3 linked regions of the Sus scrofa genome follow. The protein of the gene in region 1 interacts with the protein of each later gene in a pairwise test. Links are inferred from orthologs where the notes say so. Each region holds a gene or a part of one and is shown in the gene's direction. Other genes may lie near its edges. The genes, in order: CREB3, SLC35C2 and TMEM51.

Evidence for each region.
Region 2: the proteins of CREB3 (region 1) and SLC35C2 interact in a two-hybrid assay, tested with the Homo sapiens proteins (2 studies listed by BioGRID and IntAct). The link is inferred for Sus scrofa from reciprocal best matches to the Homo sapiens genes CREB3 and SLC35H1.
Region 3: the proteins of CREB3 (region 1) and TMEM51 interact in a two-hybrid assay, tested with the Homo sapiens proteins (2 studies listed by BioGRID and IntAct). The two-hybrid records come from large-scale screens. The link is inferred for Sus scrofa from reciprocal best matches to the Homo sapiens genes CREB3 and TMEM51.

The regions. Positions count from the first base shown.
Region 1 is NC_010443.5:236,449,134-236,452,876, forward strand, and holds the start of CREB3 (cyclic AMP-responsive element-binding protein 3), read left to right. Parts: upstream 1-1,439; 5' UTR 1,440-1,907; coding exon 1,908-1,922; exon of another isoform or gene 1,923-2,034; intron 2,035-2,125; coding exon 2,126-2,263; intron 2,264-2,368; coding exon 2,369-2,516; intron 2,517-2,592; coding exon 2,593-2,660; intron 2,661-2,776; coding exon 2,777-2,866; intron 2,867-3,743. UniProt on the Homo sapiens protein: Endoplasmic reticulum (ER)-bound sequence-specific transcription factor that directly binds DNA and activates transcription. Plays a role in the unfolded protein response (UPR), promoting cell survival versus ER stress-induced apoptotic cell death.
Region 2 is NC_010459.5:48,518,604-48,522,246, reverse strand, and holds part of SLC35C2 (solute carrier family 35, member C2), read left to right. Parts: intron 1-18; exon of another isoform or gene 19-381; intron 382-899; 5' UTR 900-1,141; coding exon 1,142-1,261; intron 1,262-1,757; coding exon 1,758-1,908; intron 1,909-2,923; coding exon 2,924-2,987; intron 2,988-3,643.
Region 3 is NC_010448.4:74,433,214-74,436,956, forward strand, and holds the start of TMEM51 (transmembrane protein 51), read left to right. Parts: upstream 1-1,536; 5' UTR 1,537-1,757; intron 1,758-3,743.

The DNA.
Region 1 (3,743 bases):
CTGAGACAGATGATAAGATGAACACCACGGGAGTGTTAAAGGCAAGCGGAGTATTCTGAAAGTGGGTATGCATGACGGGTTGGGCGTGAACTGCAGGGCCAGGGAGGAGAGTTGCAGAGGAAGGCTTAGCATCTAGGGAGTGAGGGAACGGGGAGGCAGTAGGACTGAACTCTAGAGGATTAAGCCATCCCCTTCTCCCATGGCAAGCTTCCTTGGCCGGCCTTTCCCTTAACTGACCCACCAGGCCCCTCTCCCCTAGATAGTCCCCCATTTACTATGAAGCCTAGCACATCTCCTGGGTCCCTAACACCTTCCCACCTCCTACCTTGTAAATAACATGGTCCAGGAACCCCTGCCCCTCACCTGTGGTGGCCACAGCAAGAGCCTTGGGCTTAGAGAGTACAATGCAGCTGGAATCCCAGATGCCTGCAATTCTAGCTGAAGCTCAGAACCCTACCCTGTAATCAGTTTATCATTTCTCTGCGCCAAAGAAGCCCCCACGGCGACAGAGAAACAAGAGCCCTCCCTGCAAAAAAAAAAAAAAAAAAAAAAAAGAGCACCTGCCAATCTCTTAAATTTTACCTGCCTGAGGTCACCTACCCTGACCTCAGCCTATAACCCCTAAAACTGTCCTTAGTTCCCAACATTAACCCCGATCCCAATTTGTCTCCTGATGCCCAATACTGGCTTTAACATTCAGCTCTTTCCCAGCAGACACTTGAATCCAATCCCTGATCCCTAATTTTGATCTAAATTTTACCTTTAGCACCAAATCCCAACCTTACCCCTAGAGCTTGACCCCTGAACCTAAAGATCATGTGTCACTTGATTCCTGAGTCACTCCTTCCCCGTTTTACCCCTAACACTGGCTATGCCAACGGTCTCTAATGCCTAAAACTGGATCTCGAGCGCCGTTCCTGCTGCTGACCCTTAACCCGACCCTGGACTCTAACTCTGGCTTAGGCTGACCATCCTAGAACACAAAATAATGTCCTTAATCCAAACTTTACCTACCCAAAACGGACCTGACTCACGCTCATAACTCGAAATTTAAACCCCTAAAGCTAACCTTGGCTCCTAAACCCAATACCACCTAATCCCCAACCCACCCAGGGCGCTCCTACCCACATACCCGCCATCAGCCAACCTCAAAGCCGATCCCCGCCCTGCGTCGCACTGCCACCCACTCTTCACCCTCCCCCAAACCTATCCCAGACAGGGGGCTGCTCCCAGCAAGGGAGCAGAAAAGCCTCCCGCAAAAAGGCCTCTTGAACTCCCAGCCCAAGCCGAGAGACACTGGACGCTGACCTCTCCAACAGGACCCGAAACAGGAGACGCAGTCAAGTCAGGGGCCCCGCCCGCCTCCCGGGCCCGGCCTTGCGGCCCCACCCTGAGGCCCCGCTCGCGGCAGACCGGCCTACCTGCGCTGCCCGGCTCTGCGCCCCGCCCGCCGGCCCGCTAACCCGCTCGTTCTCCCGGTGGCTCTCGGGCTCCGGCCTCGCCCTCCCTTCGACACTCTCGGCCACTTCCGTCCGGGAACGTCCCCCGCCCGCGGGCGGCGCCCTGGGCCCGCGCTCTATGGTTGCGGGGACCGCAGGAAGCTGCTCTGGCCCCAGATCTCGATGCTCAGGAGCCGGCCGAAGACCCGCAGCCCCTCCCCGGCAGGAAGCGAGGGTGCGGCGCAATCCCAAGAAGACGCCCGAGCTGGGCCCGAGGTCCCGGTTGCGCGGTAGTCCTTCCTTTTCCTAGCCCGGGGCGAAGGCGGAGGCGGAGGCGGAGGCGGCTCGCCGGAATGCCCGCCCTCGGGGAGTGAGGGGCTGGCAAGGACGTCCCCTCTATTTGCATAGTGCCCGGGACGTGGCGTGCACCAAGGCCACTTCCGCGTCCGGGGAACTCCAAGTCCCGGGATGCCTCAGGGCTCGGTGCGTCACTTGTGTGGTGTTGGAAGTGGCTAAGACTCAGGCTGGGAGGCGGGTCGGGTTTGTGAGCCACCTCCGGCATCCAGGAGGAAAACCCCGCTTGCGGAGCCCATAGGTGTGGCCCACTGACGATCGGTGGGAGTCGTGCGTGGGGTTGGGAGTTGACTCCGGGTGTACTTCTGTGTTTCTGCTCATCCTTTCCGTAGATGTCTCATATGGAGCTGGGGTTGGACTCGGGTGACGATGACTTGCTGGGCTTCCTGTTAGAGGAAAGCGGAGGTCTGGGGGCGGCGCGGGACGAAGCCTTGGAGGCGCCCCTGGATTGGGAGCTACCACTTTCCGAGGTGGGGGGGGGCTCTGAGTCCGGGAGGCCCCGGGCGGGATGGAGGGGTGTCTCTGAGGCAGGGGGTGGTGATCAGTCAAAGTCTGTTAATCTGAACCCTGGGCAGGCATTGAGCGATTGGGACGTAGAGGATTTCCTGAGCTGCCTGTCGAGTCCCCCAGCATCGTTGACCGATTTTAGCCACTCTGACCCCTATCTTGTCCACCATGATCACACCTATTCCCTGTCACAGGAGTATGTCTCCATAGATCTAGGTGAGTCTGATAGAGGTGAAGTTTGGGGGAGGGGAGGGGACTATGGACCTGGCTGTTTATACTTTCCCTCTTGCAGATAATGAGGATTATGAGAAGGAAGGGGCCCAAATGACTTCCCTGCGTGTGGAGGCGCCCGCAGAGCAGGTAACTTGACTTGGTTTACAGGACGATTATTCCCACATTGACCGGGTTGGGGCAGGAGTCCGAATTTCTCTCTGACACCCTCTTGCACCTGTGCTGCCCACCTCTTGGAACCCCAGGAGATTGGTGAGCTGATACTGACGGAGGAGGAGAAGAGGCTTTTGGAGAAGGAGGGGCTTACTCTGCCCGGGACACTTCCTCTCACTAAGGTAAGACTCCCATTCGAGGAGCAAAGACTGGATGCAGGGGTTAAGTCCCTAGTAGGCTGACTCTGTTAATTTTATATCAGTAACTTGAGAAAGGACTGAGGCGAGATGCTGAGTCCAGCTTCGCAGGTAAGGGCTGAGGAACGGGTGCTGTAAAACTTGAGAAAAAGTTAGCATAAAACAAGACACAGAGACATTTATCTTAATTGCGGGTGGGAACTGGGGGACTCAAGGTCTCAGGGACCAAGAGCAGTGCCTCAAGAAACCACACTGCTTTTATTGTGCTCTTTAGGATTACATCAAGTGAGGAGGGGGTTGTAGGTGCAGGACATAGTTCTTTTATTATTTTAAAAGTCACATAGCTGGTAGCTGGTTAAGCTTTTATTCTGACCTTTAGGCATTAACAATCACTAGCATTGAAGAAGCTGGATATTAGCTCTCTGTGCATAGCACCTAGAGAATTATCATTGTGCTTCCACAGACAGCATGCCTATCTGCTGCAACCTGGCATGCCTAGGTTTGTACCTCCTTGCTGATGCATATTCTGCTAACGACCGCTCATAAACCCCCTGGGGCCTTGAGGCGCCTCTTCCTCTTATTTTAACAGGACGTATCATGCTGTGCAAACTGCATGCCTAGACCAACGCATTATGTCCTCATTCAGCTGACCACGTGAATACTTATGCCTTTTGGTCTTTGTTCTTAAGCTTAAATTATTTACTAGCATGGTGACTGTTTTTCAAGCTGGAATATGGGGTTAAGTAAAGCAGGACAAAATGGAATTTTCAGCATAGAAAATAGAAGCAAAGAGGCTAAGAAAAGATTGTAGAAACACGTCTCCTGACAGCGAGAGATTGGCACGTTTGTTGTTTGTAGGAAG
Region 2 (3,643 bases), on another chromosome or scaffold:
TGTGGGTAACACAGGACCCGGCTCCTCCTGGTCCCCCAGAGCCCACGTGCCCCACTCATCAGGCTGGGCTGGGTCGACCAGGAGGCAGGGAGTGGTTTCCTTGGTTTCCTCTGGCCAGACCCTCAGGCAGGCACCGCCCCTATGGGAGTGGCTGTTAGAGGTGCTGGCAGAGGAGGTGTGGGTTTTCTGGTTCATTTTCAACGTCTAAAGACCAAATCAGTCTCCTGAAAATCACGTGCCCTCTCTCTTGCATTGCGCCGTCACACCATACGGGGAACGACCAGGGCGCCAGGTGGCTGTAAGCTAACGTGGCCGCTGGGGCTCCTGTCTGCGTGGAGCCCACAGCCTCCCGGGGGACCCAGCCGGTGCTCAGATCATCAGGTCTTGCACAAGTGCCATGGAGGAAAAGTAGGGGAGCAGGCCGTATCTCAGGGGGACCCATCAAGGGGCCGTGCTCCCTGAGGAAAGGACGTTTGAGCCGAAGATAAGAGGAAAGAATGAAGGCTGGGCTCCCTCCAGCAGCAGGAAAGGGCGGGTGTGTTTGGGGAAAGGAAAGCCCTCCAGCGGGGCTGGACAGGACTTCTTAGCTGCCAGAAGGGTTTTTGGTCTTTATCTTAAGAGCCCTGGAAATACCGAAGGAAGGGCTGCAGGCTGATCCAACATGATCAGATTTACATTTTTAAAAGGTCACTTTGGTGGAAATTCATGGAGAACAGCTTGAGGTGACAGGAGAGTGGCCATGATGGGGAGCTGTGAGCCTCTGGGCCAGAGGCGGGGCGGGCTCCTTCCGGGGGTCCTGCCCGCTCTGCTCAGGAGCAGGGCTGGGGAGTGACAAGTCCGGGGGGGGTCCCCCCCTCCCCGTTGCCAGAGCCACCGAACCGGCCTTTCCATCTTTCCAGCCTCAGCCCTGGGGTCCGGCGAACCGTGTATGCAGTGGATCATGGAGCGGGTCGGCTCAGGCCACCAGCCCCTTAGGTGAGGACAGTGCCTGGGGCTCAGCAGACAGTCCTGGATCATGGAGGCCGAGAGCGCGCCAGCCGGGAGACTTTCCTGTTGAGAGTCGTGGGCCCAGCTTGGCCGGCCGTCTTCAGGAGAGGCGCCGCCCCCACGGACCAGAGCTGGGGAGCTGCCGCTTCCGCGGATGGGGAGGTGGGCCCTCGACGTGGCCTTCCTGTGGAGGGCGGTGTTGACGCTGGGGCTGGTCCTTCTCTACTACTGCTTCTCCATCGGCATCACCTTCTACAACAAGTGGCTGACCAAGGTACCGCGGGGACCTCGCAGGGCCCAGGCCCCGGGGCGGGGGCGCCGCCATGGCCACAACGCCCCCCGATATTGACCAGCAGGAAGGCACGGGCCTCACCTAAGCAGACTGGAAGCCGGTCACGCCAGTGAGGGGACGGCCCTTAAATATTTGGATGGAGGGGAGATCAGGAAAGGGGGAGCCACCGAAGAGGAGCTGGGGACCCTCGGGGGCCTGAGGCAGCACAGGCCTGGCCTGGTAATGAGCTGCTCGGGCCATGCAGGTACTGCCTGGGAGGGGCCAGAGCAGGCAGCTTGGGGGCCTGTTGAAGTGACAGAGGTGGCACCAAGCTAGGCCTGCTGCTGCCTGCGTGACCTCCAGCGGTGGGGCGAGTGTAATATGGGTCAAGGCCCCTCATACGCTGCCGAGCCCTCCTCACTCCTCCGGCCGGTGGAGGTGGGGAGCCCTCGGGAGCTGGCGGGCTGTAAAGGCGCCCTCGTGCTCCGGCTGCCCGCAGAGCTTCCACTTCCCCCTGTTCATGACGATGCTGCACCTGGCCGTGATCTTCCTGTTCTCCGCCCTGTCGCGGGCCCTGGTTCAATGCTCCAGCCACAGGGCCCGCGTGGTGCTCAGCTGGACCGACTACCTCAGAAGAGTAGCTCCCACAGGTATGTGCCCACAGGCGGCTGGCCCCAGGGTGGAGGGGGCCGGATCCTGAAAGGAAAGCCAGAGGCCCAGAAAGGAAGCTTGCGGGCTTGAAGCTTAGGCCCTCCCCCTTGCGCTCCCACCCCCACCTCCACCCCTGACTCCCTCCCATCCTCCCTCCCACTTCCTCCCTCCACCCCCAGCGCCCCAGAGGCTCTGCTGCGCCTCAGCTAGCAGTTCCCTCACCCTTGTGCATGCACGTGCCCTGAGCGGGCACCACAGCCTGGAGATGGCAGTGAGCAGAGCCTAGTCCCTGCCCTCGTGTGCAAGGGGATGCTGGGGAGATTGGGAGGGAAGTGGCACACCTGAGTTGCCGTGGGGGGAGGCGCTGGGAGAGTGTGGTGCCAGGGGCATGGTGGGGGGGTAGGTCTGAAAGTGCCCCAGATGCTGAGAGGAGGTGAGAAGAAAGGCGAACTGAGAGGGGTCCAGGGTCAGATCCTGGAGGACCGGGTCCTCCGAGAGCAGCAGCGAGCAGCGAGCATGTGTTTCATTCTGAGGCAGGTGGGAGCCATTCTGAAGAGTTTGCCAGTAAGGGCTCGGCAAGATCAGGTTAACGCCCCTCCCCTCTCCCGGGGGACATTCAAAACTGTCAACAAGTGGGGACCACACAGGTCCCAGCCATTCAGAGTAGACTGCCACCTGCCCTCGTGCTGGAGCAGCCCCCTCCCCTTTTGGGAAGTCTGGGGTTAACCCTCCAGTAACTGGGTGGAGGAGTCCCCTGGTGGCTCAACGGGTTAAGGATCCACCACTGTCCCTGCCTTGGCACAGGTTTGATCCCTGGCCCAGGGAACTTTCGCATGCTGCAGGCACGGCCAAGAGTTAACTGGGTAGAAAGGAGGGCTCATCAGCCCCAGAGAGAGCCAGGGCATCCAGGCCAGAACGGGACACTCAGGCACCTCAGAGAAGTGTGTGCGCCGCTGGCACATCTGTTCCGGCCTGGCCTGGCTGTGGTCCCACGGGTGCCCCATGTCTCCACAGCACTGGCGACAGCGCTCGACGTGGGCTTGTCCAACTGGAGCTTCCTCTATATCACCGTCTCGCTGTGAGTACCGGTGCCGCCCGCCTGCCACCTGCCTTGGGGCTCAGGCACACAGCTACCCGGCCAAGGGGCCAAGGGGCCAGGGGGCGGGTCTAGGATGGGCCCTTGCTCGCTCCGCCCCCCTGGCTCCCAGCAGCTCTCCTGGAAGTCACGGCCTCTGCAGAAAGCTGGCACAGAGGGGACGCTGTGCCTCCCTGCCAGGAGGCCCAGGCAAGCCCGGGGCTCAGCCAGCATTGTGACAGGGCAGGGGACAGAGGGGCACGGGGCGGGGGTGGGGGCAGGTGGCAGCTATTTCTTCCAGCTGATTCTGCGCTTCAGCGAGCACAGTCTCTGCCTTCTCTTTTCCCCGCTTCTCCTGCCCCCACCCGCCAGGGTAGGTGAATAATGGGGCTCTAAGCTCAATGTCAGACCTGCAGCTTTTGTTCCCTGGTAATAATCAGAGGCCTCTTAGTCAGAGATTTCTTGCGATGAAAGGTCACCTATCAACCCAGAAGACCTGGGCTGCCTTCCTTTGGTCTTTTGTATCCTGGTTACCCTGCTGCCCTCAGGAAAGTCAGGGGTCTCCCCCCCGGCCCTTTCCAGCCCACTGATTGTGCCGTGGGCGCCTCTCTTGGCAGTGGTTGGGCGCGCGGGCTCCAGCAGTGCATCGTGGGTAATTT
Region 3 (3,743 bases), on another chromosome or scaffold:
GATGTGAGGAATCCCAGTTATTGCTATACTTATGGAGACTCATTGCTTCCTTTCTTCAAATGCCTCTTCCTCCCCCCCCCCCCCCCCCCCCCCGCCCAGCACCAAATCACGTGACAGCCCCAAATTGACCTCTTTGTAGACACTAGGGTCTTTTGAACTGTTACCCTGAATGTTAAGAAGCAGCAATGGGAAAAAATACCCACCTGCGACCACTCTGTAGGTATAGGCCTGTGGGGACCATGTGACCCATGAGGCCCTGTTTGGAAGTGAATTTACTGCAATTACCACTAGGGTATCTATTTTCCATCCTGGACAGGGCAGCTTCCCAGTAGGAGGCGCCTTCTGTCCTCAGATTCTCTGATACCCCGCCAGCTGCCTATCAGCCTTTCCCAGGACCTGAACTTCAAAGGGCTGGACACTCATCGGAGAAGGGGACCCCAGCCTGACCTCTCCTGGAATTCAAAACAAGTTTAAGTTGAGAGAGGACGGGGGCTACCACCCCGCTCTGTGTTCAGAATCAGGCTGGGTCCCAGCAGCAGTTCCAGGGCAACCTCCAGGCATGGGGCAGAAGCAGAGCCGCAGGTAAGAGACGCCCTCCCCAGCAGTGGATCACCCTCTCCAGAAGCAGGCCTTGGGCAGCCGCTCTGCCCTTCTAAGCAGAGGCGGCCACCCGCCAGCCACCTGGTGGGCAGGACGCGAGCTGGTGCCTCCTGGGGCAAGTTCTCCGCCAAACTGGGAACGGGCCCCCCTCTGGGGAGGTTCCAGAGCCAGGTTGCCCTCATCACGTGCGCAGGCGCGGGCACCTGGAATGGGCTCCACCCCACCAAGGCCCGGGTGTACGACCCAGAGCGCGCCCAGGGCACCCGGAGGGTGAGAAGCCCGGTGGAGGGCCTGAGCTGACTCGCTTTTCAAAAACTGCTTCCTCCTTTCCTACCTCCGCCCATCAATCACCTCAGTCAACTCACAAGGCACCAGCTCCTGGCGGTGCAGGCGGTCCCCAGTGCCCAGATCCTGCCCGAAGGTGGAAAGGGAGGCGGCGGCCTCCCCGGGAGGATGAGGAGGGGTTGGCCAGGGCTCTTGGTGGCCAGGTGAGTGCTAGATCAGGTAAAGGCGCGGCGGCCCCGCGGAGCTTTACCTCCGCACCCGTGCCGCGGGATCTGGTAGGGAGAGGGGGTCTCTCCACTCTCCTTAACCCTTAAATACTCAGATTCCCGGCCGAGACACCACTCCCCGCCCCAGCCCCACACTTCCAATTCCGCGGCCCCCGGCGGCAGGGGTCAAGCCCTCCCCACCCGCCCCGCCCTGCCAGTTTAGCCAACTTTGTGCGGCCGAGATGAGGTTGGACTTAGGTCCAGAGCCCCCGGTCCGCACTCCCGCAGCCGACGTGACGGAGGGGTGCCGGCTCTGCTCGGCTGGGGCCCCGCGCCGTAGGCCTGGCGGGTGGTGCCGAGGGCCAGTTGGGGGAGGGTCGGCCGGTGGGCGGTGCCTCTGGGGCGGGAGGTGGCTCGGGGCCGGCACCGCCCTCCGCCTCTCGCGGTCCCTCCCTCCCGCACGCCGGCGCTCCGCGGCGGTGCTTCCTGCGTCCCCATCCTGGTCCGGGGAGGGGTGGCTGCGCGCTCTCCGCCACCGTGCTCCCTCGGCCGAGACTCCAGCCCCGGGATCGCGGCGCCCGAAGGAAGCAGCCTGGGGGGGCCGGGGTCGTGGAGCCCCCAGCCCCCCGCCTCCAGACCGAGACCGAGCTGGACGCCGCCGCCCCGGTGAGTCTGCGCCTTCCTCCCCGCCGCGCCCCGCGGAGGGATTGTTCCCCACGGGGCCCCCGAGGGGGTCGACGGCAGTCTGGGTCTGCCTCTCGGTTCTTCTGAGAGCTTCCCGGCCAGTGTCTGCGCCGGAAGGACTCCGAACTCGCACCCTCTGAAGCCGCGGCGGGCCAGTACGGGACCACCCGCCTCCCCGGCATCGCGGTGGGGCCAGCTGGCCTCCGCTTGGGGCAGGCAGCCGGCCTCCGGGCCCCCTGTTGGCGGGGACAGGTGCCATCTGCCTGGCAGGTTCCGAACGCTTGGCTAAAGAGGCACCTTCCACCGGTGATTAGAGCAGAACTTCTCAGTAGGTCCCAGGAAACTACCCTGGCGCTGCCTGCATAAGCCCTTGCCCCCAACTCTCCTTTTTGGAAATGGAGACTTGTAAGAGGTTTAGATTCGCGAGCGCGCGTGCATGTGTGTGTACGTGTGTTTTAGGTACTAGAGGCAAAGAGTGAGCAATCGGGCGTAGCAAAGCGGGGTGTAACTCAGGTTTCTTCGTCTGTAAAATGGGAGTGATGATCTCCCGGGGGGAGGTGGGGCCTTCGTGCCTACCGCACAGCGAGGACTACCCAGCTCCAAATCACATCTCTCGTCTGCGCCTTGAGGGGAGGCCTGTGGCCCGGGAACGCCAAGTCTGATTAAGAGGGATGGTCACTTGCGGAAAGAAATCTTTCCCAGCCAGAGGACTGGGTGCAGGAAGCCCAGACGTCCCTACGGTTTTCCCTGTCCCTCTCGAGTCCTCCCAGGGGGGTGTCGGCCGCGGGCACTTGTGCAGCGCTCTGAGAGGCCTTCGTGGTCCCTGGACCAGTCGTTCCCTTACCGCTCGGGGGTCCGGGGGCGGGGAACCGAGGCGGGGCCGGAGCTGGGTGGGCGGGGCCGGAGGCCGCCGAGGCCGGCGGCGGCAGAGGCACTGCTTTCAAAGGCTGGCTTCTGGCTTTCATTTTGAGGGGGTCATGTCGCTAGCAAAAGGTCAGAGGTCGGCTCTGGGACCTGTGAAAGGCTTTCACACGTTGGAGACGTCATAAATGGAATTGAGAGGGAGCCCCTTGCCCTCCACATCTGTCCCTCGCCAGCTGCCCAAAGGTCCTGCCCAGAACGGGAGAAAAGGCAGAAAAGAGAAAGGGAAGAGCGCTCCTGGTGCATCTGATGCTCACGACGTCCTGAGCCGACAGTGGGCCTCTCAAGTATCACACAGCGCCAGGCCGGCCCCGGGGATATAGGGCCAAGGGGCCTCAGAGAGCTCCCAGCCTAATGGATAGTAAATGGCAAGTGTCTTAGAGAGATGGTGGTGTAGTCACCCACAGGGGGCTGTCACTCTGCCTCTCTGAGCCTCAGTCTCTTCATCTGTACAAGGGGCGTGATAACCTAGGGTTCCGAATGCTTGGCTAAAGAGGCACCCTCCACCGGTGCTTAGAGCAGAACTTCTCAGTAGGTCCCAGGAAACTACCTTCCTTCATGCCTTGCACGGAGCAAGGGCTCTGTAGGAAGCAATGGTACAGGGTTAGAGAAGAACAGAAGAGAGGAAGTAACTCGGGAAGGTGCACCAGGAGGTCCTGCTAAGAAAAGAGTGCTGGTATATTAAACATCGAAGTGGAGTGTCGTGGGGGGATGGCTCAGGGAGGGTGTCTGGGCAGATGGGAATAGCACAGGCAAAGGTGTGGCCGTATGAAGGGGTGCTGGGCCAGGGGAGGTGCTCAGGTAGTAGAGGGTGGTTTTGTGGGAGGGTGGGGGAAGTCAAGGGAGTGGAGGGGCTGGAGGAACTGGACTGGATCAGCAGGGACTTGTGATGAAGAGACATCTCGGAACCAGGTTGACTGTATGTCTTATGTGGGCCAGGCACTGTTCTAGGCGCTCAGACCACTGAACAAGCAAGACAAAGCAAGACACAAATTCTCTTCCAATTCTTTAAGCAGGAGAGTTATTTGATCCTGCTGATGTGTTAGG